Linked DNA regions of Drosophila melanogaster. The protein of the gene in region 1 interacts with the protein of each later gene in a pairwise test. Each region holds a gene or a part of one and is shown on either strand. Other genes may lie near its edges. The genes, in order: CG15561, CG12868, CG12268 and mab-21.

Region 1 (5,981 bases):
CAGAAATCCTGCTACCAGGTGTTGCCGTTGCCCCCGGTGACCGCCGCCTGGTTGGCATTGAAACCTTTCGTGGCCAGCGTTTTTAGTGCGATGTGCTTGCTGCCTCTAAGGCAGAACTCAATTCAGACTAATCTGTGACTGACTACCTGGTGAAAGAAGCTAAAGGCGCGTCAGGGTGACCCATCCATTCCCCATTGTCCGAATTCCATTTCTCACTTGCGAGCTTCGGCGAGAACCGGAGATGCCAACTGACTTGGACAGGGTACTAATGCTTTGATCTTCTTTCTCCTCCCAACTTCGCGACCGAAACACAACGAACCAATACAACAGGTGCTGGTATCGGAACAGTATTCGGTTCCCTCATCATCGGCTACGCCAGGAACCCATCGCTGAAACAGCAGCTGTTCTCCTACGCCATTCTGGGCTTCGCCCTGTCCGAGGCCATGGGTCTGTTCTGTTTGATGATGGCCTTCCTGCTGCTGTTCGCCTTCTAAGCGCGCCTGCTGCACATCGATTGCTCGTCCTTGTTTCCTGCGATCGGGCGCGTGCGCCAGTCGCATGCGAACGAGAATAGCAACCAAACAACACTTCAAACAAACAAACAACAACAACAACCAGAACAAGCAACACCTACGTTCGTTTTCGATTATTAATGATAAAATGATTGATTGATTGATTGATAGCAAACAAGAACATCCTGTACAACTATCTAATTATAAATACCAACAACAACCACATAATACATGTAATTTTGTTTTTAAAAAACATGCGAGCGAGGAGAAGACCACACCTACTTTAAGTTGAACAACCGAAATATCAGGAGGAAGGAGGATTGGATTCAATCGGATTGGACTAGCCAACGCTCACGCCCATACCCAGACGACAGACATTAAAATTAGATTTTACTTAAAGCAAGCTTCCGGCTCACCGAAAACACAACCCAATCGATGGCCCGAACGAACTCCAGCCATCCTCGTGCACTCGGCCCATTCGGCGGAGGATCTCCATGCGCGCCCACCAAGGCTCTCTCTCTCCCCGAAGTTCTTGGACATGCGGCAGGCATCTCGTGGAGATCACCTCTGCGACTAACATCTTGGATGGGCGAGTGTGTGGGCGTGGCTGGGCGGAGATGCGGTGGATCGTTGAGCTCAGCAACTTTTCGATTTTATTGTGGCGCGTACTGAAAGTCTACGTTTTTTCAAGTATTTTGTATTCGAAAAAATCAGTTTCTTTATGTAAAAGCTGTCTTTGTTCATTGCCACTTAATATTTATGAAGAAACTTGTACTAAGAGTAGTTGCAAACGAAATGAGCCGAAGAGCGCAGCTGAAATCTGAAATAAAGGAGAAATGAATGTGTAATGGAATCTTGGCCAAGTTTGTTTTTATTTAATGATTTACTTCCTTGATAATTTACACAGAATCGTCTAATTTTCGGTAGTTCAAATTTCGGCGCCCGAATGCAGCTCTGTTGTGCTAGGACCGTAGTCACCCTGTAATTGGCAGAACCTATCGACACAAGTAGCCCTGTAATAATTGTTAGTGATGTGAAATAATAGATCTGCTTATCGATAACAATTGCGCCGCACGTGCACAATTGTTTATTTTGATTTTTCACATTTCTTGTGATGGATTTCGCCAAGAAGATACTGGGAAAATACGGCTGGAAAGAGGGCGACGGATTGGGCAAGAACAACACCGGAATCGCAGTTCCCTTGAAGGCCGCCTTGAAGTTCGATAACGCGGGACTGGGAGTGGATCGCGCCCAGGAATTCAATGACCATTGGTGGGAGCGCTGCTTTAACGAGGCCGCCAGCAATGTGGACGTCCAGATTCAGCAGGACGGACAGGTGTCCACCTCCCGCAGAAAGGGCGAGGAAGCGGTGGAGATATCCACTAGAGGATTCTCCGCGCGCAAGCTGAAGAAAGCGAAGGAGCAGCACGCAAGCGATGGAAAGGCCACCTACGACAACTTCCTGCAGACTTCGCTGCTCACGCAGAGCGGTGGAGAGGTTGAGACCTCCGAACGCATCAGGGTGGAGGACATTGAGGTCACCAAGGTGGCGGTACTCACAGATGCGGAACTCTTCAAGGCCTGCGGAGGAAGGACTGCGCACAAAGGAGCACGGCATGGCCTAAAGCTGAGCGGAAAGATCGCCCGCCTGGAGCAGCAGGAGCGCGAGATGCTGGAGAAGCTTCAGCGCAAGCTGAAGACTACGCCTGAAACCGAGCATCGAGCAGTGGAGTCAGTTGATGACAGTGTGGAGCAGTGTGATACGAAGGCAAAGAAAAAGAAAAAATCCATAGCGGAGGAGTTTTCCGAGGCATGTGAGGTTTCCCAACTGGAAGAGCCCATAAAATCCAAGAAAAAGAAGAAAGACAAGGCTGAGAAGGCAGGAAAGGAATCCCCAGCACATCAAACTCCAGAAGATCCCGTCAAGATCAAGAGGAAAAAAAATAAGACACGGGAGCCGGGAGAGGAAGACGGTGTGGAAGTCGAAGAGCCAGTGAAGATAAAAAAGAAGAAGGACAAGAGAGCGGATAGGCAAGCAGGGCTTGGAGCAACTGAAGGACTGCCCCAGGATGTTGAAACTGATGAACAAGTAAAGTCAAAAAAGAAGCGAAAAACGGCGGACTCTTCGGAGGAATCGGAAACTAGCACAAAACTAAAAAAGAAACGAAAGAACAAGGAGAACGTGTAATAGTTATAGTCCACTTTAGAATAAACGATGTTAGAAAAATGTAATTTATGAAAATTGCTCATGGAATTCTAAAATTCTATACGGAGTATTCCACATTTCGAAAGTAAGGCTGTGTGCACACAAAATGTTATGTATTTATGGGTCTAAAAAATCTATACAGGATTGGGGGCTTTATAAAACTAGAGTTTGGTCACCTAAATATAGTCGGCAGTCCCGGGGATTACTTTCTGCCCTTGGCCTTAATGCGTCGCGATTTGCCAAGCCGCTTGTTGACCGAAGCACCTGCCTTTACGCCCCGCTGGCGCCTGGAGGACTTGTCGCCATCCAATCCCGCGGAGGAGGACTTTGTGTTCCTCTTGAGGCCCTTCTTCTTGCCGCCGAAGCCGAACTTCTTGTTGCGCTTCTTGCGATTCTCGGCTGACTGCTTCTGCTTGGACTCAAGCGCCTTGGCGTCCTCCAGGAAGTCCAGGTTTTTCAGCTTGCCCTTGCGGAACTTCTTCAGTTTGTCCAGCATGTCCTTCTTCTCGGCTTCGCGTTGGACCTTGGTCTGTTTGGCCAGCATCTTGCCCATCTTGCGCTGCTCGCGGATCTGCTTGATGCGCTCGGATTTCGCCTGTCCTTGCTGTTTGGCCATCAGGTTGGCGCGCACCTTCTGCATGTGCTCGTCGGACTTGGCCATTTCAGCGAAGTAGTCATCGGGTCGACGAGTCTTTATGCCCAGCTCGTGAAGGCGGGGAATGGCCTCCAGAACAGCACTTTGCGCCTGTCGGTGGAAGAGCATCTCCCTCTTGAAGTCATTCAGGACGGGATCCTCCTCGGGCCGAATGTAGGGCAGCTTGGCGTTGCCCTTGAAGAGATTGGCCCGCTTCTGCTCGTGCTTCTCCAGCTGTACAGCGAGTTCCGGCGCCAGTGGAGCTAGTGTGTTGATCATGTCCAGGCGTTCCAGCCAAGGCAGTTGCATCTTGATAGCCTCTGTCTTGGCCAGCAGTTTGGTCTATGTGGGCAGGATTGGATTAGTCGATTCAAAAGCGGGCATCCAGCTAGCTACTTACCACATCGTTCACTTTGTCTCTCTGGCCATTGAATTCCACATTTAGGCCTGGTTTCAAGTCGCCTCGCTCAAATGCCGCTTGCAGCTGCAGGAAAAGAGTGGAGATTTTGGTATACGGGGTGTTCATTTCTTCGGTTCCTCACTTACCTCGGCATCTGAGTTATCCCCTGAGTCGTAGCCCGAGGCACTGTCCTCCATTTCAAAGTCCGACATGTCTGAATTAACTAAATTAAATCTGATCCAAATAAAAGAAAACAATTTCAACACGTGCGGGGATAAGAATTATCGATTGTTGCTGGCCTAAGTCTATCGGCTATCGATGTTGCAGTGTGACCTTCACGCGGCTTACTGCTAAAATTATTGAGGTGCACTAAAAAGCGAAGTGCTGTGTGACCGTTTAACCAATTCTCGCTTCGCTTTTCAAATACTGCCGCTTTTTGTTTCTGTTTTGCGAATTTGCTCCAAAAATGTCGGCTTCTGCGAACTTGGCAAACGTTTACGCGGAGCTAATGCGGCGGTGTGGCGAGTCATACACGATCACCTATGGAGCGCCACCCACCTACTTGGTGAGCATGGTGGGGGCTGCGGAAGCTGGCAAGAAGATTGTGCTGGTCTTTAAGGAGGATCGCAATGGAGCAGTGGCGAGACTCCGGACCACGCCCACCAGGGCAGCCCCAAAAAAAGAGGGCTCTGCGGACTTGGATCTGACGGGAAGTCCTTTGAAGGACGACTGCCTGGTGGACGCCATAGCCGACTTGTCCATCGACCTGCAGCTGGATCACTCGAATCCCTGGAAGCTGGAGGAGGAATATCAACGCGGAATACCCGTGGACAAGGCTAGGTCCATCGTGTGCTCCGAGTTCCTGCAGCTGGCCGAGGGACTCGGATCCGTGTGGTTTTTGTGCGACGGCAGTGATCTCGGGCAGACTCAGTTGCTCCAGTACGAGTTCAACCCTACGCACTTCTCCAGGGGAATACTTAGCTACCAGGGTGTGCGCCCTGCTTACTTAGTAACCTCGCAAGCCCTGGTGCGCCATCATGGCAAGACACCGGATGAAACTCTCATTGAAAATAGCTACCAGGTCAATCCCCACATGAGACTACGCTGCTCCTGGACCTCTAGTGCTGCACTTCCGCTCCTGGTGAACCTGAACGACTGCGATGTGGCTTTGAATCACACTTTTCGCGTGGGCGACTGCGGTCCTTTGACGCAGGACTTTATGAATCAGCTGCGCATTCTGGTCTACATACGCGAGGACATCGTCTCCTACCACACGGATGTCAAGCAGGGCGTCTCTCGGGATCCCACCTATCGTTGTGGCAGTGGCATTGACATGGACGAGCTGCGCGAGTCCATTAATCAGACAATGACAGATGTCTCTGGCCTTATAGGTCGGTATAGCATCAGCAATGCGGAGTTTGACATCGAAGATGTGGTGCAGAGGGCCAAGGTTCGCCAGCTCACGGATCTAACCGATAAGCTTTGGGAGCTGCTCAAGTGCTGCCACTCCTACAAGGATCTCAAAATTGCCTTTAGTATGCTCTTCCAATGTGCTGCACGGTGTAACATAGTAGTAAGTATGCTAATGCATGCAAACCACCACATATTATTCATGTTCCTCACCCCATAGAACACGCCTACTAACAAAAATCGACTTGCCAAGATTATCACCGAGTTGGCCAACCGTCGTCTGGCCATGCCTTGTTTAAGTGGGGCCGAGCCTCTGGAACTGCTTTTGGAAATTGGCCTGGAGAAGTTGTACAAGGACTACGAGTTTATCTACACCGAGAGCAAGATGTGCAGCACCAATCTGTTGAAGGATGACTCCAGCGGAGCGTCGATGGACGATGGTTCTCCCCAGAATCTGCCCCAGCTTCGAAAATCCCTGCACAATGCGGTCAGGGGTGATCCGACCCCTGGAGCTGGAATGCGAAAGACGCTGCTGCATCATCACGGCGCTGTCAATTCGCGGAGTACAAAATATGCCGGTAGCGACGATGATGCTGGGTTCAAAAACAGCCATTTCGACGAGCACGAGAGTACGGAGAGAATCTCAAAGTTGTTTCAGATTCACTGCACCTTAGAGCATCTCCTGATGATGCACATCCACTTAAATCTGGCAAATGGTAAGAAGGACAAAAAGCAGATCCTGGGATTTTTAGCTATAACTCCGTTTTTGACCTACAGTTTACAACGATGTCTGTTCTGAATTGCTGAAGAAACCGCCTA
Region 2 (5,945 bases), on another chromosome or scaffold:
TCGATGGTAATTAATGCGTCGCCGTCCTTTATTCAGTTACCTCCGATTTGCCCCAACGACAAGCAGCGCGTGGAGTTGCAGGCGAGGGTTCAAATGTTTGACTTGGTGCTCCAGACCCTCAGCCGGCGGGCAGCCAACTTATCAGTGGCCGAGCGACAGCGTACCATTGAGGAAATTGTAAGGACCAGCTCGTTAATGGCCATCGACGTGGATGTGGGTACAAAGCTTTTGGAAAACTATGTACATTACTTAAACAAGGCTACCAGCACAATGACTCCTCTAACCCCGGCCCAAATCAACTCGAGCTTAGGCGCTTCCACCAGCTCGACGCTTTCCAAAAGCATAGCCACCTCCGACATCCCACAGCAAGGGAAGAAAATATCTGCGGACCATGCCCAACAGCGGAGTTCTCTCCCCGCTACCATTCCCCTTTACGATGGGGGCAGGAACACACTTGGCTTTCCGTATAGCTGCTCGAAATCGACGGCAGGGCGAAAGTCTTCATATGTTGCCACCAGCACGCCTGTGAAAGCCTCCACATCCCAAGCAGCAGCAGCAGCAGCTCTAGGAAACGCTCAGCCAAGATCCACGTTGGGGATCCCGAAAAGTGTTCGGGAAGACGCTAGTCAGGTAGTTATTATTTACGACAAATATTTATGTGGTCATTAATAAACAATTTATTGTTCCTAAACAGTTCGTTAATCTCAACACAACAGTGTGTATGCCAGCACCAAGGACGAATGCCAAGAAAAAACCAGGGACTTCGGGCCCTTTAAAGTCGATGAATTCTTCACCAGCTGTGCAGAAACCGGCGCTGTGCAAACAGCAGACGGCGCCGGCAAGAACTCTGTCCAAGAGCACAGTCTCATCCGTTGCACGAGCGAAATCAACAGGGTCTTTAAGTGCAGTGTTGGGTGAGACTCCTGCTGACGAATTCGTATCCCCCGCCGGAATGAGTCTGAGTACCACCGGAAATCCGAATGTCTTCATCATTAACCACGCGGTGCAGTCAGAGGAAAGCATCCTGCCTGACTCCAACAGCAGCGTAGGGCACATGGAAACGACGGTGATCAAAGGCGAGCTGGATGATTCTGCGGAGATTATTATATAGCAGGGCAAAGACTATAAACCAGTTGGAAAGTATTCTAAGTTACTTTAGCACAGTTAATTAAGAGTTAATTATTTCGTTGAACGCAAAATCATAATTTTGTAATTCTGAAATGAAGAATTTGTTAAACCTTACGCAGCATCGTCATTTTTTTTTTTTTTTTTTGAAATAAATGGTTAAATATTTTATTCAGTGTGGGACTTTCAAGTAAATATCTTATAGTTATCATTGCATATTTATTAAGTATCCAAATAAAATATAAATATAAACATTCTAACATTTTTTTATATAAGCCGAAACGCATAAATCGTGTAAAATAAGAAATAAGAAAAATTACATTTCGTTCGAAGCTTTTGGAGCCATTGGCGAAATCTTAAAGCTCTTGTGAAATATTACAGAGCGATAAGTATAAAAGTTGCGCAGGGGAAAAACCGTTTCTATTAACAACAAATTTTTCAAGATGACAACATCTGCTGTTGAAGCTCCCAATAGTAAGTTTAGTTAAAACTTTACAGAGGCATATTATAATGATGCACATATGTATATAATAATCTACAGGTGCATATCCCGATTTAGAAAAGCGACTGGAAAGGTATTTGCGAAGTGTGTTTTGCCTAAAGGAAATCGATACTAAAAATGAGTACATTCCAACCGAAGTGGAGTACTTTGGAGTTCTGAGTTTAAGCGATGTTCGAGCGCCTCGCCGAAAACTGTGGTACATGTACTATGCGACAACAGATCAGGTGGACAAAACTGTGGATCAGATCCATCGTAAATATGGCCAAAAGAATATGTACGAGCTGTTCAGAAAACCGGTATATACAGGGGCTGGAATGCGATCCCGTGTTAAGAACCACTTTAAAGGGCTTAAGTGGCACGTAAAAGGAAACATTTTGGAAGCCCCGCTAGGTAGCTCCCTTAATGATGAGAAAGTGGTTAACACAATTGCAGATTTATATCAGAACGAAAGGAGAAGATACTTCGATTACCTTATGTCTAGGAGTAATCTGTATAAATCGTGTACATATCGAAACATAAATGCATAAAATATTTTCATTTATGTATAAGACTTTCTAGAATAAAGCTTTAAAATAATAAATGCCAATAAATGCTAACCAGTATTCTTTTAACGCTTGTTGAGGTAGGAAGGCAAAATTGCCGCACACTTATCAATGGGCAAAGCCTATGAATCACCTTAAGTTTTCATCTGATTATATTTCTTAATAGCAGGGAATATTAGCAACATGGACGATAAATTGGAAAAGTACTGGAGACGTCTATTTTATATGAAGTCAGTTGCAGAACCTACGTCGTTGGATGCTGATACGATAGAATATTTCGGAATATTCAGTATTGACGAACCAAATGTCGCTGCCCAAAAACGGTGGTACATTTATTATGGCCTTAGATTAGAAAGGTTAAAGGTTCTGGAAAGGATTCGAAAGAAATATGGCAATAGGAATGTCAGAGAAATATTTCAGATCGCCACATTCAGCGGAGTGGGATTTCATAAAGTCGTCAGAGAATATTTCTCCAACTTAAAATGGTTCACAAGCAGAAATCAATTGGAAGCTCCACTAAATAGTTATTATAATGATGAAAGACTAGTGAAAACTGTTTCGGACTTGCATAACAAGGAGCAAAAAAGAATCTTTGACTATATAATGATACAACACGCCTGGTTTGAGCGGTATAATGATCAAAAACCACCTCCTGCTAAACATTAAACTAACTAAAAACATCGACTTACAGTCGACATCTGTTGACTAAAAGCGGCATGTGTATTTGTTGATAGGGGGTATTATTATACATTTTACAACCTATTGGTCAAGTTAAATGATTTATAAAAATATGTCGAATAAAATATATACACACACAAGTAGCTTGCGGTTATAATATAGTAGTACATAATAGTATATACCTTGGAGTCTAAAGACACAGTCATCCGATCATCCTAATCAACAAACATAAACACCCTAGTTGTCTGCATTAATAGGTATTAAAAAGAAACAAGCGCATTAAAAGCTCACTGTTTTTTGATAGGCCACAGGGTTGCTTCAAAAAGCTCTTTTGTTGTGAAATTGGAAATCGTAAACAAAACGAAACAAACTTTATACAAATCAGTTGAAATCGTATTTGTTGGGTATTTAATAAGAGTGCGTAGGAAGTTAACACGCATTCAGAAGTCAGAGAAGCAAGAGTCACCTCGTTATTAAAATATGACAACGAATTCAGTAACTGATAAGAACACGGGTAATTAAAACGGCAAATTATTTATTTGGAACATCAACGATGATTAACAACCGATTCGCAGAAGGAGATTACAACCTGGATGAGGAAATCGACAGCCATTTGAGAAAATTGTTCTGTCTAAAACCAAAAGCTGAAACACCCAAACTCAATCCCTACATAGTAGAATTCTTTGGAGTTCTTAGCTTGACAGATCTCCGTGCCCCACAAAGAAAACTATGGGTCATATATCACGCCAAGCAGCCTGATCTGGACAAGACCGTTGATGAGATCCACGAGAAGTATGGCAAGAAGAATATGTTTGATCTGTACCGCACACCAGTTTTCAGTGGAGTTGCTCTGCGGGACAGTGTGAGAAAGCACTTCTCGAACCTAAAGTGGTTTACGACGGGAAATCTCCTGGAAGCCCCACCTAAAAGCCACTTCAACGACGAGCGAGTGGTGAAAACCATCACGGATCTGCATCATCTGGAACACCAGAGACTATATAATTATGTGATGGTGAAGAATATGTGGTCTATGCGGTATCGCTAAACTAACCTGTGATTTAGGATTAAATTTGTATATGACTATCTAAAAGCAAGAATAATAAATTGTACTATTACAAAATCCATATAACATAATGGTTTGCTAACCAATCAAATAGTATTGTTTTCTTGTAGTACAAATTTTGTTTATTTTCCTATATTTCGTTGAATAAAGTACATAATAATTATGCTGATTTAATTTGTTAAATATATTCGATAACATTAAATAAATTCCGCTTGTGTTTTTTTTTTCTAAATGGATGACAACGCCGCATAAGGGTTAAAGTGCCAATCGATAACGCACGTCCTCACCTATCGCCACCCCTGTTGAAGCGTGCGTCTTTCTAAACGCAGACAGAATAAATAAAACCTGCCAAAGGCTATCAATTAATTGGTAAACACTGATTGGGTGTGCAATATAGCAGGGAATCAAACCCTCAAAAATGGTAAGAACGGCAATCCAAATAGTGTGCACCCATTCATCTTCTTTTTTCGCCACCATTGCTCCGATAAGCGAAGTTTCGATAGGTAAGCAAAAAGCCAATGGATCGGGAGCCACTCAGTAGCGGGCGTCTCCATTGCAGCGCCAGATATAAACACAAGCGATCGGCGTCATCATCGTCAGCGGGGACAACTTCATCCGGACACAAGGACCGCAGGTAAATGTGTACACACATATGTGAGACGACCCTAAACGATACCTCTTTTGACATGAAGCATCGAGTAGTTTTGACTGGCAGTTTGGAAAAAAGGTTCAACTGTCATAGGGCCCTTTCATTTGGATTTGCCCCCTCAGCCGATTCAGCTGGTGCTCTTGCCAAGAAAGTTAAAACCAAAAATCATTCAAGCCGATTTCATTTCATTGGAAGAAACCAACCAACCAACCAACCAACCAACGAACATCACTATGTAAGAACCCACCGAAGCAATCATTTTCATTCTACGTCCAACTACCAAAGAATTTGGCCGAAAGAGGTCGAACCCAACCGTAGCATTTGTCAAGTCACACAAATTTTCCAACTGTCAGTTACCAAGGCGTGCAAGAACCACCCGAAATCCACACGAAATACAAAACTTTTCAAGACCCTCAAGAACGAACCGCAAGATAATCTTATTTCATTCCATTCCACATCGAATCAAGGTCTGACTACGATTACTGTGGCAGTCGCCGGCACCAGCGGTCCTCCTCTCGCCGACGCTCCCGTTCGCGTTCCTCCTCGGAGTCGCCGCCACCGGAGCCGCGTCATCGCTCCGGACGTTCATCACGCGATCGCGAACGAATGCACAAGTCTCGCGTAAGCCATTCTGCCGATTAATGCCTCCTTTCAATCCTAAAGATCTTCGGCGTTTCAGGAACATCCACAAGCAAGCCGCTGCATAGGAGTCTTTGGACTGAACACAAATACCTCGCAGCACAAGGTACGCGAGCTGTTCAACAAGTACGGACCTATCGAACGCATCCAGATGGTGATTGACGCACAAGTAAGTCGGTTTTCGATAAGCATTGCTAAGATATTTCCTGCCTGAATCCTTTTGTGTAGACAAATCCGCTGAAGCCCTGCAGTTTTGTCTTAATTTCTGGCTAGATAAAATTTGATAGCGATTGTGAGTTTTTGTGTATTCCAAACTAAAAGCTAAAGGCTTGCTGTCACAGTGGCATATTGTTCGAAGGAAATATTGATCTCCCGAAATCAATATGTGTTCAGTTGTTAGGAAAGTTCAAGTTCACAAACGTAGATTAACCCTTAATAACTTCTGACATACAGACACAGCGTTCCCGGGGCTTTTGTTTCATTTACTTTGAGAAACTCAGCGATGCCCGCGCGGCTAAGGACAGCTGCTCCGGAATAGAAGTGGATGGTCGCCGTATTCGCGTCGATTTCTCTATAACCCAACGGGCTCATACCCCAACTCCGGGTGTGTATTTGGGTCGTCAGCCGCGTGGAAAAGCTCCACGCTCATTTTCACCGCGTAGAGGACGCCGTGTGTATCACGATCGCTCCGCTTCGCCCTATGACAACTATCGTGATCGCTATGATTACCGCAACGATCGCTACGAC
Region 3 (10,028 bases), 7.3 Mb from region 1:
TGCCCAGAGCCCAAGGCATTCAAATACTCGAGTACTTGCTGTTCAAATGCCGCTAACCAAGATCAGTAGTATAATTGTCATACATATGGATAGGTCGCGGGAGGCGAAAAGTGGTTTAGGAATGCACCCTAAGCTGGGTGAGAGTGAGTCCAGCTAATTAAATGCATATCTCATATCTGGCCACTTTGCGTCAGCAGCCGGTGCCGCCGACCTGTTTTAAATGGAAAAATAATGGCCGAGCCCACACGGCGTATGGGTTATATGGACAATATTGCGTGCCGATATGCGTAAACATCAACAATCACAGAACCACAAACGACAAGCAAACCCAGTCAACTGAGTTAAACAAATATGACTACATATTTCCATTCGTATTGCCACGATTTGTAACTGGTTTCCCCTGGGAGTAGTTGAAGTGATGCAATTGGAAAATAGCACTAGTCTATACCAAAATGGGTTAGGCAGTAATAAAGTTCTTATAAATATGAATGGAATTTTGTATAATATTATATTATCTATGTAATTTCTTCATTTCAAGCTATATATTTTATTATAATATAGTATTATTTATAGCAGCTATTAATCCTTTTCTGAAACTTTGCCACCAGCATATTCAAAGTTGCGAAACGAAGTTTTTAGTTGGGTATACCCCATTGGCACGATACCCAGCTCAGTTGGTTGGTTGACTCAGGTCAAGCCTTAGTGTGTTCTACTTAGTCGTTAATCGAATCTCGAACAAATAGCAAATATTTAGTGTTATTTAGTATTCAGCTGCTGCGAAAGCAAGCGCGATTTGCAATTATGTTTGATTTATGGCGGCAGTCCCGATTCGATGGGTGGTGGTGGTGGTGTTTAGGGGTTTTGGATATCGGAAATCCCATTTATTTCATCCGCAGCTCCAGCTTCACCTTTTAGCTCCAGCCCACTTGGAGTAATCAATTGCAAAAAAAAAATTGCATAATGATGGCCGCGACTGATTGAATGCATGGCGCATACGTATGTATATACGTAAGTATCTACTCAAGCAACCTGTTCACAAATGCTGGATTATTCATCGGTATAGTACAATCAAAAACTTTAATGCGGAGTTGGAGTTGTGGAATGGAGAAGAGCAATTCTAGAGTATATATTTAGTTCTTAACTTAATATCAAAATCAAAATTAGGCTCTTGATTAAAAGAATCAATATCTAAATATAAGTATTAAGATCATGCGAAATAGATTGAGTCTGACAAAGTTATCCTAATTAAATTTAGTTGTATACCACTTCCCCTAATGACAATATTCTAACTTAATTCTCACATAAGATTTAGACTTTTTTAATTAAAAACAATAACATTTTGCGTTTTATTTCACAAAAAAAATTGCGCCTCTTTATGGATCTTTTGACGTTATATGAAAGATTATGATAATAGGAAAATTTTATGAGTTTTTGAGTTGTACACTTAAATATTTTCAATTATAAGTTACAAGTGTCAAGTTCTAAGCATAGCTTATAAGCAACAAAAGTGTGAAAGGCAAATGCTAGCTAGTTAGTAACCAGATGGATGTCAAACAGGATCCAGCCGAGATTCAAGATTATGCCATTGTATCCACATAGAAATCGAGGTATGTTAAAGGCAAAGATCAAAGACATTTTCCAAGGAGTTTCTTAGAGATGCGGGCACGTGTGTTGAAATCTCTTCCGCTTGACTAGAGACGAAGCCCGGATTGGTCGTACAATTCGCGGATGGGTGACGAGACCGTTTCCTCGGTTCTGTCGCGTTTACAGAACCAATTAGAGTGGAACTATGAATTGGGCTGGACCAGGGGCGTCCGTCCAACGACTTGGGCTACCAAAACAAATTATGTCATCAAAGGAAAGGGAAATGAAAATGGAATACAACAGATGAGCTGCGAAGCCTGTTATTAACCGCAAGGTCCGTGGGCCAACATACCTGGCTGGAAAAAAAATGAAAACGTAACGGAGACGTTGCTGAATCACAATTTCAAGGTCGTCTCATCACGACATCTTCTGTTGTTGCTCGTTGTTACCGGATTGTGAAATCCCCAGCGATCCTGTGCTCCATTGTGTCCAATGGTCATGCCCCTCATCCCCACATTACGCCAGCCCACAAAACAACTCACCTGACGGGGCAACTTTTTTTTTTTACCTGGCCATTATCACAGCTTGCAGCCGTGGATCAGGTTCCTCCAAGAGGAAAAAATCTCTTCTACAGCCAAAAATTGCATGAATGCATTTTAGCGCGGAAATGCGCTGGTATGAGTTGTCTGAATTCGTGCATATACCACTACAGTGGAGACACAAATAAATGCGATTATCAATTAGGTTTTCAAATCCTAATTAAATTTTTTTAATAGGTTAAATGTACAGGTGTCAAGCAAATGATTTCATTATCATATTTAAGAATTTATCATTTGAGCTAAAGATGCATTACAAACGTGTTTTTAATAAGAGTAAATAAAGTACTGTGACCAGTACTTGAATGTAAAATGATTTTAATGCAACTCATGAAATGTTTCATAAAAATGTGTGTGCGTGTGTGAGACAAGCCCTCCAAAGAAAGTTCCTTATAAAGGATCCTCACTGTATGCATGCATCTGTTTCGCTGCCATGGATGACATGCGCTTTTTTAGGGCCACCTCAAGTGGCTGGCCTTGGTTTGGTGCGGCTCCTTTTTTTGCGGTCGAGGGGAATTTTGTTTTGGACTCCGTCTAGAGTTGTGAGGCCATTGCAGTTCGTATGGCCCGATTCCGAAGGCGGGGAATCCATTAGCATTGCCCTCGCTCGACTTGGAGTACTTTAAGTGCCGTTTAATTGGCTTTAATTCGAGTGTTTCGATTCGGTGTGTGTTTTTCGGCTTTATTGCCTGGGTGAGGGCAAGCTCATCTTACGCCTGATACAACCCGGAAAGCAGCACTGCTCACCTGGCCACACACACACACACACACACAGCTGTCGGCGCACACGTTCACACAGAGCGGTCAACTGTGTTGGTGCGGCGTTGGCGAGGCAGCGACGCCGGCAGAGCCGAGTTTCCTTTGAGCCGAGTATAACTTCAAGCCAATTGCCCGCTTTCAATTCAGTTGCCGCTGAGTTTTCAACCGATTCAATTCGAGATCGCCAACAACACTCGAAGATTCGCCAGTCACCGTCGCCTGAGAAGTGAGTTTCAGCTTCAATCGAGGCGCTAATAACTTGGCCTAATAGTCGTTGGCCATCCTAATCCCCACGTGAACTTTGGCTCCGTGTGTGTTTGCCCTTACAATTGACACGAAAAGCCCCAATGAAAACAAAAGTCAATCCAACAATTGTAAGCGAAATGTGTGCGAATGTCATAATTTGCGTGCCTCAAGTTACGTGAATCTGTCCGTCCGCCCAAAAAGGAGGCGTGAAATGCTGTGTATAGTGTGTGCTAGTTAATTAAAAAAAACTGAGATCGGATCGGCCATAACAATGGGAATAAAATTCAATGGAAATTAATGCAGTTAGAATGGAAAAGAGCAAATTGTTTCGAGTTTGTGTCTTAAGTCTTTTGTTTGGAGACAAACATTTGCATGAGTGAAGGAGATTGCCAAATTGTGCATATTTAAACATACAATTTCCTGGGACAACAAAGTTTTCAACTCAAGACATTTTAAAGTGCTTTTTGACTTTCATGTTAAGTTAAGTTAGAAACTAACCAATTGTTGTATTTTACTTAATAAAATGTTGAGTGTAAGCACTTTTAAGTAAACTGTGAGACACTTGTACCAAAGAAAAAATAGTACGGAAAACTAGAATATGTGAATAACTTATAAATGTTTTAATTGCCTTGTCGGAAACGTAAACAATTGTGTTTGAATAATTTAACAAATGCTGCATTCTATAATTTTGCAATCAATCAATGATTCAGTTTCATTCTTAAATGTTAAGCAATGGAAAATAAAGCTGCAGCGCATTTATTACAAAGAAAAACATTCCATAAGATTTCGTTTATTATGTTTCTCCTGTTGTCGGCATATAAAAGTAAACTACTTTAATCAGTGCGCCCATAAAACGAGAGTGAAATGCAGAGGCTTTTTATGGGTGGAAATCGCTTAAGTCATCATAACCTGGCTAATTGCTCGGACTTCCACCCGCACTTGCATTGCCCAAGAGCCTAATGCACACACTAAAAACTAAAGAGCCGAAAATAAAAACCCAAAATAAAGCAATGGTCCAAACATTAACCCATTGCCGGACGTACACTTTCCAAACATGAAATAAACAAACAGTCGGTGGCCGCTAACAGGCCTTTAAACTTGTCACTATTTACCAACGCAAACAGATGATGTGCGAGGTGTGATGGTATCCCAGGTGGTGATGGGAATGGTGATGGGGGGTTCGGGGGTTCCAGGGGAACGGACACCCGAAATCCCAATTGGCCGCGGCAATTACACGCGGTTGGTCAACACTCCGCAGTTGTCTCTGCCTGATCGTATTTCACCAGTATCCGCTGCTGACATTGAAATAGAATCTGGCGCGGAGTAGGTTAGACAAACAAACGGCCAGTAAAGCGAACTTGAAAATATAAATAGTAAACTATTAAAACTTCCCTTGCTAAATTTTACAAAGTAAACTAAATCCTTTAAAAGCCTTACTCTCATAATGAATGTATAGACTACTTTCCGATTTCAGACAGCTGCTTAACCATGGACATACTGAGGAGCGATGCCGATTGCGGCGAGTCCGATATTGCCAAGTTCTATGCAAACAAAACCATCCTTATTACGGGTGCCACCGGATTTATGGGCAAGGTTCTGGTGGAGAAACTACTGCGTAGCTGTGCCGACCTGAACGTCATATATCTATTGATACGCACCAAAAAAGGGGTCGATCCCAGTGTGCGCAAGGAGCAGTACTTCAAGTGTGTGGTAAGTATTCAGATTCGCCTCCAGTTACCGGAACTCAAAGCATTCCATTATTAAATGCTGTAAATTGAATAGTTTATGGCTCGTAAATAAAGCCCAGCCCCCTCGTTTTAAGCAGCTTAATTAGCAGCTACTTAGATTGCCATTCTCCGTTGTACCACATGACGTATGCGTAATGGCCATATAAAGTGCAACGAAGTGCATCAAAATTCCATGGAATCGTATAATGTGCTATGTTGCCAATTAAAACTAACTATATTGATTTGTGTGATTTGGATTTTCTAATAATTACTAGCTGAAGCAAAAAAAAAAGCATTTCCGGGGGTTCTCCAAAAAGTATTGAGCAATATTTACTAACAGCACAACTAAAATTCTAAACCACAAAGAATATATGACTAAAGCTATTTTCGTAATTCCCTAGTAAATGTTTGATATTTCATAATACTGCTTATGGTATTATTACGACTGAGAACCCCAAAATTTTAGCTTGCATGAAGCACAAAAGTGTGTAAGTCTCGTATTGCATAGCTACTATAGTTTTGATACAATTAATCATTTATTTATTATTCGTTTATGACTGTATAATGGTTTTCCGCTTATTTTAAAGTGTGATATGTGAGTCAGTCATAGATTGAGACACTCCATTTCAATTCAGCCACACGTCAATAAAGATCTTACAAAATGCGAAGCGATGAGTGTTTCAGTATTATGGCCTTGCCCACCGGCCGTTAGCCATAATTTCCACTTCAGACAGCCTGACAATTCCGAATCCGAATCCGAATCGCGACGCACTCGCACGTGAACTCAGATATAAATTCTATATAATTATACGCTATAACTGAACTAATACCCCGTTTGCCCTCCGGCAAAAAAGGGGAAAACCTCAAACGCAACTCCCGCAAATTACCAAATTATCGCACAGCTCAAAGACACTGAGATTCGGTGTTACGTGGAGTCCACAATGCAACCCACTCAAACACATCCACGGCGTTTATAAGTCAAGGTGATCATTATTGGTAGAAAAAATCCAAAAACTTACAATGACTCTTAATTGTTGGACGTTAAGCCGGCGCTGAAACCAGCGACATGGCCCATTACGCGATTCTAGCCAGTGGAACAGCAGGCCATTTGGATCCAAATTGCAATTCCAACGCCATGACACTTAACTAATGACCGACCGCCTCTTGTTTTCGCTTTCAGATCTTTGGCAAGCTGCTGGAGAAGAATCCCGGCATCGTGGACAAGGTGCGCGTGGTAAAGGGCGATCTGCTGGAGCCGGACCTTGGCCTGAGCGCCAATGACACCAACACACTCGCCTCCAACGTCGAGGTGGTCTTCCACTGTGCGGCCAATGTGCGCTTCGACCAGCCGCTGCGTCCCATGGTCATGATGAACGTGGTGGGCACCCTGAAGGTCCTCCGCCTCGCTGAGAAGATGAGCCAGCTGCAGGCTCTGGTCCACGTGTCCACCTCATACTGCCAGTGCAACGAGAGCGTTCTGGAGGAGCGAGCCTACCCGGCTCCACAGAACCCCTTCTCCATCATCGAAATGGTGGAGACGATGGACGACGAAGCTCTGGCGGAGATTACACCCAAGTAAGTGGTTGAAATTGCTCTTCCTGAGCCGCAGATATTATTGCTCTTATTATTCGCGTCCAATGAATTTTGAGCAGCACTTACTTTTAGTAAACAAACGCTTATAAAGATTTGGGCTATCTAAATACTGGCTGAAATATAATGAAGTGCCTATAGTTTCATGCTCCTTTACAGGCGTACCTTGGTGGCACCTAATAACCAGTTTCTTTGGCTTATTTTTAGATTACTAAACGGCTTGCCAAACACGTACGCTTACAGCAAGGCGCTGTCGGAAGATTTAATTTGCAGATACAACAATAAGCTGCCCATAATCATCACAAGGCCCTCGATCGGTGGGTATACCATAGTGTCTACTCTGTTTTTGTGCCTCCTGGCTAATTGCTTTATTAAATCCATTGCAGTGACGGCCGCCATTCACGAGCCATTGCCCGGCTGGATCGAGGGCGTCAATGGACCCACCGGCCTAATGATCGGCGCCGCCCGCGGAGTCATCCGATCGATGCACTGCAATCCGGACTACGCCTCCACGGTGATACCCGTAGACAAGGCCATTAACGGCATGATCCTGTGCGGCTATCAGCGCGGAAAGGCCAGCCAGGAGAAGGGTAACAAGCAGACGGGTGTTGAGTTCTGCAATCTGTGCATCTCCAGCAAGGCGCTGATGTCCTGGGGCGACAGCATCGAGACGGGTCGTCGATTCTTCTACGAAACGCCGCTCAGCTTTGCGCTCTGGTATCCGGGTGGATCCATCAAAAAGAACTACTACCACCACCTTTTCTGCGTCATCTTCTTCCACTATCTGCCCGCATACTTCATCGACTTTTGGCTGCTCGTCTTTGGCCAAAAGCCATTGTAAGTAAACGGTTAAATTTTAAGTTCTCCTATTAACACATGGATTATTCCCATCCAGCTTACTCAATGTCCAACGCAAAGTGTCCATGGGTCTGAAGCTGCTGCAGTACTACACAACGAAAAGGTGGGAGTTCCGAAACGAGCGCTTCCAGGAGATGAGCAGTCAGCTGAGCCTCCTGGATCAGGACCTCTTCGACACGTCGGTGGGTCAGGTCAATTGGGAGACATACATCAGTAACTACATTGTGGGCATGCGCACCTATATACTGGGCGAGAGCGAGGACACTCTGCCGCAGGCCAGGAAGGTCCTGCGACGGCTGTATATCCTCGACTGGGTCAGCAAAGTGCTGTTTTTCTCCCTGAGCTTCTGGTTCCTGTGGACCCATTTGGATGGCTTCGTGGAACGGAGCGATGCCTTCATCCGATCCTCGCTCAGCACCATTTACCATGAGCGAAACAGCACCATACATGTATAAACTCTTCTTTAATTATGTACTTCAAATATAGTCCACAAGATTTTGTTTCTTTTTAAGTAAGCTAGCTGTGTTTTATTTCTATTTTAACTAAGGATTAAAACTCAAAACAGTCACATAGGAATTGTGTGAAAGATCAATAGCATGATAAGCCCGAAAGTTACGTGGTAAATTCCTGAAAGTATGAGCTCTAAATAAAAAATTTAGCAAAACCTTTAAAAAAACACCTTATATAAAATATACCTTGTATATATCGTTTGTATTGTACTGTACGATGTTTATTACTTAGATTTTCAAGTGCTTTCTAAAAGAAACTCAGTACCCCCCTGAATTCAACATATAGCCGAAGATGATAAATCATAGCTTAATCTTGGAGTCAAAGAAAAACGTGAACGTGAAACCGATAACAAATACCTAATCTCGCCCTGGCAACGAAGCGAGTAATCCGCCGGCGGTGGTGCCGCGTTTCTAGCGGGCACTCCACCCACAGAGCTTTTCGGTGAAAAGTTTGCACCGCTCTCGCCGGAGAGCAAAAAGCTCGGCGCTCCGAAAAAGCCGACATATATATACATATCTATGCGAGTGCCTCGGCCAGTTTGGTGCGGCGTCGAGTAGCGAGCGGTTGTGTAGAACAGAATAAAAAAAGAGTTGGAACCCGAAGAATCCAAGCGATTAGCAGCATGTATCACCTGAAGAGTCTGGCCCGCCAGGGCGCCCGCCGCCAGCAGGAGCTGGCCACGCTGGCCAAGGCACTGCCCACCGCTGTGATGCAGTCGAGCCGCGGCTATGCCACCGAGCACCAGATTCCCGACCGCCTCAAGGATGTGCCCACCGCCAAGGATCCGCGCTTCTTCGACATGGTCGAGTATTTCTTCCATCGCGGCTGCCAAATCGCCGAGGAATCGCTGGTGGACGACATGAAGGGCAAGCTGACCCGCGACGAGAAGAAGCAGAAGGTGAAGGGCATCCTCATGCTGATGCAGCCCTGCGACCACATCATCGAGATCGCCTTCCCCCTGCGCCGCGATGCCGGCAACTACGAGATGATCACCGGCTACCGCGCCCAGCACAGCACCCACAAGACGCCCACCAAGGGAGGCAAGTGTTGATCCAAGATAACCCAAGATATAATAGTCAGAACTCTGCACGTAGGTAGTAAAAAATGAGACGTTAAGAGGTTTTCAAAAGGGATGCAAACAAAAGTGCCAAACCTATAGAGACCACTAGATGATTCAGTTTTCCTTGAAAATCTAAAACAAAAAATGCAATTACCTAGCAAGTTTAAAGCAAAAATTTGTCAACACTTACTTAAGTTTTAAGAAACCCTCAGAACAGCTGTTGTCGCTCGATGCAAAATCGATTTTTCCTTAGGCATTTCTGGCATTTCGTCTTGATTTTTCAAGTTATGTAACCCAGTATATAAGCCACACCAGACCAGACCCCCTTTTCCCCACGTTCTGCGCATGTACCGCTGCCGCCTGTTTTGTTTACGTTTTAGCCGACTGGGCTCCCCCTTTCTCCACATTTTTTTTTTTTTTTTTTTTGTTATTTGAGGGTTTTTAGGCCGCATTGCATAAGGCTCGGACGTTGGGCACACGTGTTTGCATTAGATTTCCAAACCCTTCAAGTGTGCCACCATTCAAAAACAGATGTACATATGCTGAATGTACTGCCCGCTTTTCGCACATTTCATTATTTTCGAGCTGGCAAATGTATTTCGATTCTTTCGCTGCTGTTTGTTTTTCCTTTGGCTGGGTGCTATTTATAATGAACTTTTGCTTGTGTTTTGCTTTCTAATTGAAATGAGAGCACAGCACTGCACAGTGTGTCAAGTGCTAAAAAAAAAGTAACGCCCCTAACCACCAAAAAAAAAAAGAAAAAATCTCCTTGTTGTCAGGCCACAAAAATTGTTTGTTCCGAATTCTGTTCCTTTTTTTTTTGCTTCATCTCAAATTATTAATTATAGAATCAGTTTGGTGCTTATCAAAAGCAAAAAAAAAAGAACACAAAAAATATGTAGTGAAAAATATTCGACTAGGGAATCTTATCTGACCTTGGTTATGCGCAAAAATAGAAAACAGAAACAGCCGAAAAAACGCTATGCCCCTAAAATTTGTTGTTTACGATTATTGCCACGCTTCTTAACACTTTATGATCTTGTTTTCGATCCATAGATCGATCGATCGATCATGTGGCTTAGTTAGTTGGGTCACCAA
Region 4 (9,797 bases), on another chromosome or scaffold:
CTTCCATCTTCTGGCCCGAATCTCCGGATAAATGAACATGTCCGCGTCAAAGTGTCGCTCTTGCAAAAGCGCCACGAAGAAGAAAGGAAGGGATTGCGCCAAAGGGGGAGAAGGAAGCAAGACGGGGGGGGATGGGGGTCAGAGTGTCGTGCAGGAACAGCAGCTGCTGCTGGACATCGTTTCCCAGCAAGGGAATGCCCAGGGAATGGATGAAAGCAGGGGAGGATCGTCGGGCGAAGGGATGTTGCTGCCAGCGGAGATTGCAATCTTTGTGCTGCAGTTGTCGCTTCTGTTTCTGTTTTTCGGTTTCTGGTGCTGCTCCTGCTATTCCTGCACCATCAGATGCTCCTTTCCCTCCTTAATTTTCCGCCATTTGCTCATTTGCCGCGCAACCAGAAAGCGTATGTGTCCTACAGAGAAAAAGAGGGGCAATGTTGTTTATTCATTATTATTAAGTTGCCATTAAAACTGTATGTTTGTATAACGAGTTTATGCGCAAGGGACAGCTAAATTTTTTCCGGTGCAGATGCTGGGAGGGATTGAAGGTGGAGATCTTGTGCAGCTGATAAGCAGTGCCTCCCGATGAAGTCGTTTTTTGGAGGACCCCAAAGAAGAGCCGGCGACACACTGCCAACATACACAATTTAATTAAAGACGCGACTACCGGATAGGATTGGATCGGAAACTATCGCCGATCGATCGACGATCGCTGACACGCATAAATCCTGCACATCGATGCTAAAGATCGACGATATCGGGCTGTTGGACGGACGGGACCTTTTACGGACCTCTCGATCTGACCTTGGCCACTAATGAAGATCTCGAGACGCCGCTCCTGCGGCTGTTGCATAATTCATTTCCAATTTATACGCCATAAAAGCGATAATGGCCGCAATTAAGTTCGTGTTCCTTTGATAATTTTCCACATTTACGCGGCCATTAAAATGATTCTGAACGCATTTTTCAGACCCTCCTATCAGCTCGCCTCATTTCCATTTCCATTCTAGGTGTCCATGCCCATACCCATTCCCCATTACCGTTCCCAATCCCCGACAGGCTCCATTCAACGCTGGCTTATCGCAAAGAAAGAGAGGCGTAGAGATGGGAAAAGCATCTGGGGGAATTGGGAATATTGCATGCGTATAGATATAGCCATAGTGCGAGTATAGTCCAACCCCGAGGTGTTAATTAGCATTATCTTAATGCACGTTCCGGCACACAGTTCAAATTGAATTATACATAATAATTTGTCCGCCGCTCTTTAAAGTGCAACTTAATGTTCGAACGGACAGGCCATCTCCATCTTGCCCTCTGGATCTCGGACTTCTGGGCCTGGGTCTCCGGTCTCCGGTCTCCGGAGGGGTATGTGGTGACCCCACCCTGGACGAAGCGCAAATATGGTGGAGTGGATGGGGTCCAGAGAGCTCGTGTTAAGCGCTCATTAATCACATTAGATATGCATTAATTCGGTAAGGAATTCAATGGCGTGTAGACGAGCGAAAGAGACGGCGGCAGTTGGGGGAGGGAGATAAATAGATACTCTCTGGCGGAAGAGAAGGAACCATTTCTTTTAGGATAATCTCTGGGAAAAGTATTACTTAGATTTCATGTGTAAGGTTTTTTTTGCTATTAGCAATAACAATAATAAGATGGAATATTAATGCACTTATTTTCGAGGGAAACAAGTTGCTTCAATTTAATATATCTATATAATATATATATGTCCATATACTGAATATCCACAACTCATAACTTGGCCAAATGTAACCCAATTTGCACGTGGCATACCTCTAAAAGCTTGTGCTTAAGCCATCTAAAAATCTGTATTCCAATTTAGTTGATTTTTGAAAAATAATTTTTTACCAATTTTTTGTTATTTTAATGATTGTTATTTTATTTTCCAAATTTTCGAAAAATGGTTAAAAAATTTAAAAGTCCAGTTTCGAATATACGATGTTAGTACGGCACGAGCTGAGTTCGGGAAGGTATAACATTTGAAGATACGACTTGTTTTAGCCAAGTTATGATGCATTGATTTTGTGATGAGGTGGCCTTAAACAAAAGTTAAGCCATTTATTAACTTTTAACATTCAACAAACGTATGTCACCATTTTGGACTACTTACTTGAAGAGTAAACAAATCAATATTTATAATCCCAGGACTCTTTAGTTTACTTCTACTGTCTGGCACATTAGACTTGTCCTGCGACGCCCAACCCAATGTACGCTCCCATCCGCAAAAAGCCACCAACAATTCCCCAATAACTCATTCAGTCCACCGTTTCCACCCACCACAAAGGCAACAACAACCCCAAGCAGGCAAAACAAACAAACAAACGAGGTGAGTACTTAGTATGGGTGAGTATCTGTGTGAGCGAGGCAATGCCTAGATGCGCGTGTGTGCGTGAGAGAGTGCCAAAGGGGGCGGAGCCAATGGAAGGGTGGCTTAAAAGCCGGGCTTATCTACGGGAATATAACTATAGAATAAACTATAGCCAAAGATCTGCAGTGTTTCCCTATGCTACTTTATGTTACTTTATGTTTTTGTTTGTTTTTCAAATTATAGTTATAGCGAGAGAGAGAGAGAGAGCGGCACAGCCATGTTGGGGAGCAAGCGCGAAAGAGAGAAAGAGAGAGAGAGCGCGCTCGTGGCTGGAGCTGTCTCGCTCGCACTTGAAAAGGGGAGCCCATCTGGGCTGCGAAGCCAGCGGCTGCAGCGACGCTGGCAGAAGCTGAGGCAGCGGCAGTTTTCTTGCGGTGCGCCCGCCATTCGAAATCAGTCAATGTTGAGTTGACGGCGCGAGAAGACGCGGGAGAAAGAGAGCGGAGAATTGAAGAGCTAGTTGATGAATCAGAAAAAAGAATTAGGGTCCCCGTCGCTGTGCCGTCTTGCAGAATCTAAAAGAATCTAAATATCACAATATAGGGATACCAAATTGAAAGAATCAAAAAACGAGAAACGAAAATAATCCAAGTTGCAGAACCGTCGCTGTGCCGTTAAATTACTTATTGTTTTTTGTGTGTGACTAACTACATGTGTGCCTCCTAGGTAATGAGTGAAGTTGGCAGTGATTCCAACAGCAGAGACTAAAGACTTTTGGGCGCCACCAAGTGCCCCGCCGTGTGGAGAATGCTGGTGCCGTCGGACATGATTGCGGCGCAGTCCAAGATGGTCTACCAGATGAACAAGTACTGTGCGGACCGTGTCCAGGTGCGCAAGGCGCAGATCCACAAGCAGATCCAGGAGGTGTGTCGCATCGTCCAGGACGTGCTCAAGGAGGTGGAGGTGCAGGAGCCGCGCTTCATATCCTCGCTGAACGACTACAACGGTCGCTTCGAGGGCCTGGAGGTCATATCGCCCACGGAATTCGAGATCATCATCTACCTGAATCAGATGGGCGTGCTCAACTTTGTGGACGATGGCACCTTGCCGGGATGTGCCGTCCTGAAGCTGAGCGATGGAAGGAAGAGATCCATGTCCCTGTGGGTGGAGTTCATCACGGCCAGTGGGTATCTGTCCGCCCGAAAGATCCGCTCCAGGTTCCAGACCCTGGTGGCCCAGGCCTGCGACAAGTGCGCCTACCGCGACATTGTCAAGATGATCGCCGACACCACGGAGGTAAAGCTGCGCATCCGGGAGCGCATCATTGTCCAGATTACGCCCGCCTTTAAGTGCGCCGGCCTTTGGCCGAGATCCGCCTCCCACTGGCCGCTGCCGGGCATCCCATGGCCGCATCCCAACATCGTCGCCGAGGTGAAGACCGAGGGATTCGACATGCTATCCAAGGAGTGCATCGCACTGCAGGGCAAGAACTCCGCCATGGAGGGCGACGCCTGGGTGCTCAGCTTCACCGACGCCGAAAACCGGCTGCTGCAAGGTGAGTTGCCGTCGGGAAATCTTAGACGGGTTGTATTGTCGTCTATATGGGAACTACTCAGGGTAGAGCACTTAACTCTTTTTTCACACACTAGCTTAAAGACTGCAACTCTTGCAATTACATAGTTCCTAGTTTCCTTTATGGTTAAAAGATATATCCTGGTATCCACATTCACGCCTTTCAATTTATACACTAAGAAATATATTTTATCAAGCGAATGTTATCATAAGATAGATTTGAAGACAAGTATCTTTGTAGTCGCAAAAAATTCTTAATTAATCGGAAATACCATTGCTTTGAAAACTATTTCTCTCAGTGCCGAATGAGTGGCTACCGTTTTTCGGGCATGTTTTGGTAGTGTCCCCCAATCAGTAATCAGTGACACACTTAAACTGAATTGATTTATTCCCATCAAATCAGCGACTTGGTCTTGATACGCCCGTAATTGGTTGTAAATTAACCGTCGGACGGGGGAACATCATATCATTTTGGAGATCTTTCAGCTAGTTGGGAAAAAATGAAGTTCCATTTTAGTTTTTAGTAATCTAATGAGAAGCCCACTTAATGGATTTAACTAACTTTAGTTGAATTCTAAACGGCAGATTCTATGGAAAGCTATGGAGCTATGGAAATTGGATTATAGAAGGATCTTAAGAGATCACCATATTAGGATTCTTTAAAGGATGTTTTACACTTGTATCATTTTTAAATGTTCATGTAAGATAAGATATCATTTGAGCTTAGGATCTCAGAATGACTGCTTATCGTGTAGTATTATCCAAAATCGATGTATGTATATCTACGATGCGAAGATGGTCACAATCAGCTTGCAGCGATTGTCACACGGAATCTGCATAGTTGGGCGGGAAATTGCACTGCAGATTCAATTAGGCAGGGCGATAAGATGGCCGGCGATTAGTGGGGACCCACTCGCATTGAGTCGACGACTGCCCAACGAGACATCCGATTATCGGGCCCAGATATGATATGAGATACGAGCCAGCGTCGCCCGGTTGGCTACGATCATAAATCTGATGTTCGATCGATGGGGGGAGTCTCAGCCCGAACACGGGGAGTTGGAGTCTTTAGCTCCTCAGTTTCTGTTTTTTTTTTTTTTTTTTTTGGGTATTTGGTCGCAGCGCGACAACGCACACAAATCTGCTGATCCCCGAGAGATAAGCGCAGTCTCGGTAGTCGTAGTCCCAAGGCAGTTAGACGGTTAGTTGGTCGGACTATGGAGCTACAGAGCGAAAGAAACGGGTTTCTGTATGAACAATGCCAATGGCTGGGCCATAAATAAGTTTCTAAACGATTTTATAAATATTTTAAATCTCGGCGATTAGATAAAGTCAACAAATAAATAAAACAACAGCCAGGCCAGGCCAGGCATGAGATGACACACACACGGGGTAAGAAAGGAAAAAAATAAAGAAAGAGCCACAAAGATTGGGTTTTCGGGGGGGGGGGGGGGGGAGCTAAAAGCTGGGAGCCGAGGCAAACCAGAGAAACGAAAATCCAGCCAAAAAATCGAAACAGAGACAGTAAGAGAACAGAAACAAAAAAAAAAAACAGAAACAAAAAACTGAAACCAAAACTGAAACCGAAATCAATTCTAAGGCCGCTGACAACGATCTCTGATCGATATTGATCCGACTTTTTTCACCGCGTGTTTGTCATTTAATTTAATGCTCTCCGAAAACTGAAAACGAATTGAGACCCAGACTCCGACTCCCCCTAAACTAGCTTTCTGGGAATAAGGTGGGGTACATAAGTGTATCGATATCGCCAGATCGTGACTATAATTAGCACGGTCACTAGCAGCTACCAAATTAACGTCCACTTGACATGGACTCGATTGGGATTGGGATTTCGATTTCGATTTCGATTCGAGGTACTTGGAATCGCACTTGTTTTGCCCGATTTCTTGCGACCCCACGAGTCGAGTGCCAATATTGTGGCAATATCGTTCAATATTGATTAGCCCAAAATGTGAAACGGAACCCGGAGCAAGACGCTCCGGAGCGGGAAAAAAGCCGTAGACGTGATTATCGGACCGGAGCCGAGATTAGCCCGGCTGACATCGTGCCAACGTAGCCATGATTTATGTGCTCCAACGAACTCGGGCCACAATAAATTAGGAATCAGTCCGACTTTATACCTGTACGTCCGCCTCTCGAAGGAGAAATTGAAACCAGAACATAAGTACCTCATATACGTATATGGGTTGATCAATCAAACTGAAGGGGCGAAGAACATAAAGAATTGAATATTGCCACAGCCTTATGATGTTTGTATTACTCGAATCTACTCAATAATACCTATCTATGAAATATAATATATGTAATTTCACTGGAAGGATCTCAAGTGTTTTAACTTTTTATTGGTAGTATGAATATCTTGAAGTTTTAAATACTTTTATTTGATATCAGCGCACGAAAGGCATGAGTCAGGGTACGAAAATCCAAATAGGTTTCTCAAGTGGTCAAAATAGTTAGCGAAATAAATGAACCGATGTACTTGAGATAGAAAGACTTCTAATGACCAAACCCATCGATCAGTTGCTGTTTAACTGACAAAGAACGATTCAGCTATAGTTCTGTCGAAATCGTTTCGATTCAATAATATCGATAGCATCGCATGGACATAATGATGCATTGAGCCAAGGGCAATCTTCGGAACTCCATTCGGAACTCCATCCTTACCAGCAAGGCCCACCCACTAACCCAATCAATATTATATGCTTTCTATGTTTTTTTTTGTTATAGAACTGATAGGAATTGATATGTTTCAAGTGCTTTTAAGCATCCTGTCTTATATTTTGTTGCAATTCTATGAGACTATTTAGGCTTAACTAGACTTTAGTTTGGGGAATTACCTTATTCAGCAACTCCATTCCATTTCTTCACCTCAATTCCAGGAGCGAGTCGACGACGCTGCCTGAGCATTCTGAAGACCCTGCGTGATCGGCACCTGGACCTGCCCGGCAATCCGGTGACGTCGTACCACCTGAAGACCCTGCTGCTCTACGAATGCGAGAAGCATCCGCGCGAGATGGAATGGGAGGAGAACTGCATCGCGGACCGGATCAATGGGATATTCCTGCAGCTGATATCCTGCCTGCAGTGCCGCCGCTGTCCGCACTACTTCCTGCCCAATATGGATCTGTTCAAGGGCAAGTCGCCGGGTGCCCTGGAGAATGCCGCCAAGCAGGTTTGGCGGCTCACCCGGATCATGCTGACCAATGTCCGTTGCCTGGAGGAGCTGTAGAGCTGCAGAGCTGCAGAGCTGTAGAGGCACCAGCACACACTAAGCACTAGCTACTACGAGAATCCATTGGATCTGCGGACGCTGCGGGGGCAGAACCGCCACTGGGACTTCTTTTTTTTCATACGCCTTTTGTTTTTTTAGTGATTTTTTTTTTCTACAACTAAAGACAAAGGATCGCAAGGATCAAGGGCGCTGGGAGGGTCGAAGCTGGAGAAGGAGAAATGTGTGAGAAAGATAGAGAGAAAGCAGTGAAATTGTAACCCAAATACTATTTGATATTTCGCTAGATCGTAACTTAAGTTTAGGTGCTTTCGAAAAGTATACGCCGCTTACAGAGTTTCCTATAATTAGAGCATACTTAGTGTTATCCATTTAGATCGTCATCGTCGCAAAACGCACAAAAGTTACCAACTAGTTACATTTGTATGTACGACATTTTTTTTTTTTTATTGGTCCATTTGCTATTAGCAAAGTGCAGAGCAAAATTAGCTAAATTAGCTGTAAGTCCTAATGAAACTGAGACAGCCGAGTGAAGGAATATTTCCCCGTCGGTCCTAAATTATTTATTCTATGTTTTTGCCTTCTTCTTGTGAGTTTAGTCAATAAAACGTAAGTTTTTTCAATGAAAATTAGCAGGGTTATTACTTTCTTTTGTGAGAGGGGTAGGTAAGTACGTACAAACCAAGGAAAAGTCTTAACAATTTAAGAGTATTTTTACGTAAGAACAATTTATGTGATATTAATGATTTGCCCAGTTATCGGGTTTTGAATAGTTCTGACATAGCAATTTTTTGGTATGCGGAATATCTGTCCGAACTGCCAACTTCTCGAGGGTCTCGTCCGTCGATCATCGGATGGCCTTTTGATGTTCTGCCGGCATTATTGATAGGCCACGATTTCGATGGATTTCGATGGACTGTGGAAAATGTCAGAGGCTGACATTTCGTTGGCTGTCGACAGGTTGCGCATTTTAATTGCGAATTAACAGCGATTCCGCGGACAGCTAACAATCCCAATAAACTAAACACACACACGCACGCACAATTTGTGTGTGCCGCATCTGCCACGCCCACCCACGCCCACCGCTCGCGAGAGTGACTCAGAAAGTAAAGATACATTTGTGCTTTCCCGTCGAATCGATGAAACATTTTGGTCACGTGTCTGTTTCGATTTCGAGCGACAGACATAACATTCAAATTAAACTTTATGTCATTCATAAATTAAATAATTTAATTTTTCCCCCATTGTTTCGTGTTGTTACCTTCTTCTGTTTTTAGCTTTTGGCAGTCAACTGTCCACTTCTGCGGCTCTCCATTATTTTTAGCCTTAATTTATACTTTATTGCGACCAAGTTGATTTATGCATGTGCGGCTTTTGTATTTTATAGTTGTAAATTACCCAGCAAATGACAATTGCAGAGGCGACACGCAAATCATGCTAACACGGCATAGTCGCACCTCTGAATACCCTTTAATGATCATAATAATTTGCTTGAGATACATACTGCACAAAAAAAAAAAAAAACAAAGTACAAATATTGTTCTCTTTTTAATTTTTGATGAGAACATTTTCGATTTCGATTTGCATTCCAACACATTCACATTCACATTCGGTTGGAATGGATCGAATTTATTCAGGTGGGCGATTTGGTTATGGCCATTTATGACGGCGATGATTTTGGATCAACTCGATTGGGCTAAATTCGATTCAAATGTCTTTTATTTTTCGATCGGGTTGTTAACCGCCTAGTTGCGCTTTTAATGAGTTGTGTTTTATTGGATTTGATTTGCATTTTAATGCGGTTTCATTCTCAAATTTATTATTTGTTGTCGACGCAGACGCAGTGCGTCTGTGTGTTTCCTTTTTATATTTTTCTAAACATTTGCTTATTCCATTGAGCGGCAGACACTGTTTGATCCGCCGCTTCCCACACAAATTAAACCATAATAATAATTAATAAATGATAATTTCGGCAATCGGCTGGTCCTCCTCTGGTTCCCATCTTCCTGTTTGCTGTCACCATCGCACTGGGAGATTTCCATTTCCATGCAATTTATATACGTTTTAATGGCCGCAAGAGCAAATTTTATGAACATCTCATAATCGCATTTTAAACACACAATTTGTCACAGCCCCTTCGCATGTCACCCACTCGAAATGATCGCCTGCATATGGCATAGCAATTAAGGAATATTCATTTTTATTTCCACACCCATTTGCAGGCAATAATTAAAATTTTATAACCGCTTCATTTTGGGTGTTCTTTTTTTTTGTTAAGTTTAAAACAAAGTTTGGTTCAAAATCAACCGGTGCGTGCAAGGCATTTCGCACATCATTGCGTGACAAATCGGCGGAAAATTCACTCACTTGTGATATATACATATTATATAAACTTCTTATATACCGGTTAAATCTGGCGCTGAACTCGATGAGGACCTGCTGTCCCAATCTTCTGACCGCCTGTCAGCCAGCATGTTGGCCACATCCCCACCGATCCCCGCCAGCCGCCAGCAAATCCGCACCTCATCCACCTCTGGCAAATCAAAACAAATGTTTTATTTAAATGGTTAATTTGATCGGGCCAGAGCATCTGTGCCGGCCGGCTTGTTGGCGATGGCCAAATGAGCAGCTTACAAGGAGATGATGAGGCCC

Evidence for each region.
Region 2: the proteins of CG15561 (region 1) and CG12868 interact in a two-hybrid assay, tested with the Drosophila melanogaster proteins (one large-scale study listed by BioGRID).
Region 3: the proteins of CG15561 (region 1) and CG12268 interact in a two-hybrid assay, tested with the Drosophila melanogaster proteins (one large-scale study listed by BioGRID).
Region 4: the proteins of CG15561 (region 1) and mab-21 interact in a two-hybrid assay, tested with the Drosophila melanogaster proteins (one large-scale study listed by BioGRID).

The regions. Positions count from the first base shown.
Region 1 is NT_033777.3:31,211,527-31,217,507, reverse strand, and holds CG15561 (uncharacterized protein), read left to right. Parts: upstream 1-1,565; 5' UTR 1,566-1,626; coding exon 1,627-2,700; 3' UTR 2,701-2,732; downstream 2,733-5,981. Other genes in the region: ATPsynC (ATP synthase, subunit C), read left to right, coding at 331-494; CG1542 (uncharacterized protein), read right to left, coding at 2,921-3,694, 3,753-3,836, 3,899-3,964; zwilch, read left to right, coding at 4,219-5,325, 5,383-5,878, 5,940-5,981.
Region 2 is NT_033778.4:14,602,583-14,608,527, reverse strand, and holds CG12868 (uncharacterized protein), read left to right. Parts: upstream 1-3,230; 5' UTR 3,231-3,327; coding exon 3,328-3,361; intron 3,362-3,422; coding exon 3,423-3,892; 3' UTR 3,893-3,979; downstream 3,980-5,945. Other genes in the region: Su(var)2-HP2, read left to right, coding at 1-630, 695-1,111; CG33468 (uncharacterized protein), read left to right, coding at 1,569-1,599, 1,667-2,154; CG33469 (uncharacterized protein), read left to right, coding at 2,353-2,835; tra2 (transformer 2), read left to right, coding at 4,429-4,544, 5,027-5,180, 5,239-5,367, 5,652-5,945.
Region 3 is NT_033777.3:23,941,476-23,951,503, reverse strand, and holds CG12268 (uncharacterized protein), read left to right. Parts: upstream 1-3,079; 5' UTR 3,080-3,165; exon of another isoform or gene 3,166-3,313; intron 3,314-4,641; exon of another isoform or gene 4,642-4,659; 5' UTR 4,660-4,673; coding exon 4,674-4,895; intron 4,896-6,092; coding exon 6,093-6,487; intron 6,488-6,709; coding exon 6,710-6,819; intron 6,820-6,888; coding exon 6,889-7,339; intron 7,340-7,397; coding exon 7,398-7,815; 3' UTR 7,816-7,876; downstream 7,877-10,028. Other genes in the region: Gdh (glutamate dehydrogenase), read left to right, coding at 8,493-8,910.
Region 4 is NC_004354.4:6,006,156-6,015,952, reverse strand, and holds mab-21 (mab-21), read left to right. Parts: upstream 1-2,771; 5' UTR 2,772-3,130; coding exon 3,131-3,878; intron 3,879-6,795; coding exon 6,796-7,145; 3' UTR 7,146-7,770; downstream 7,771-9,797.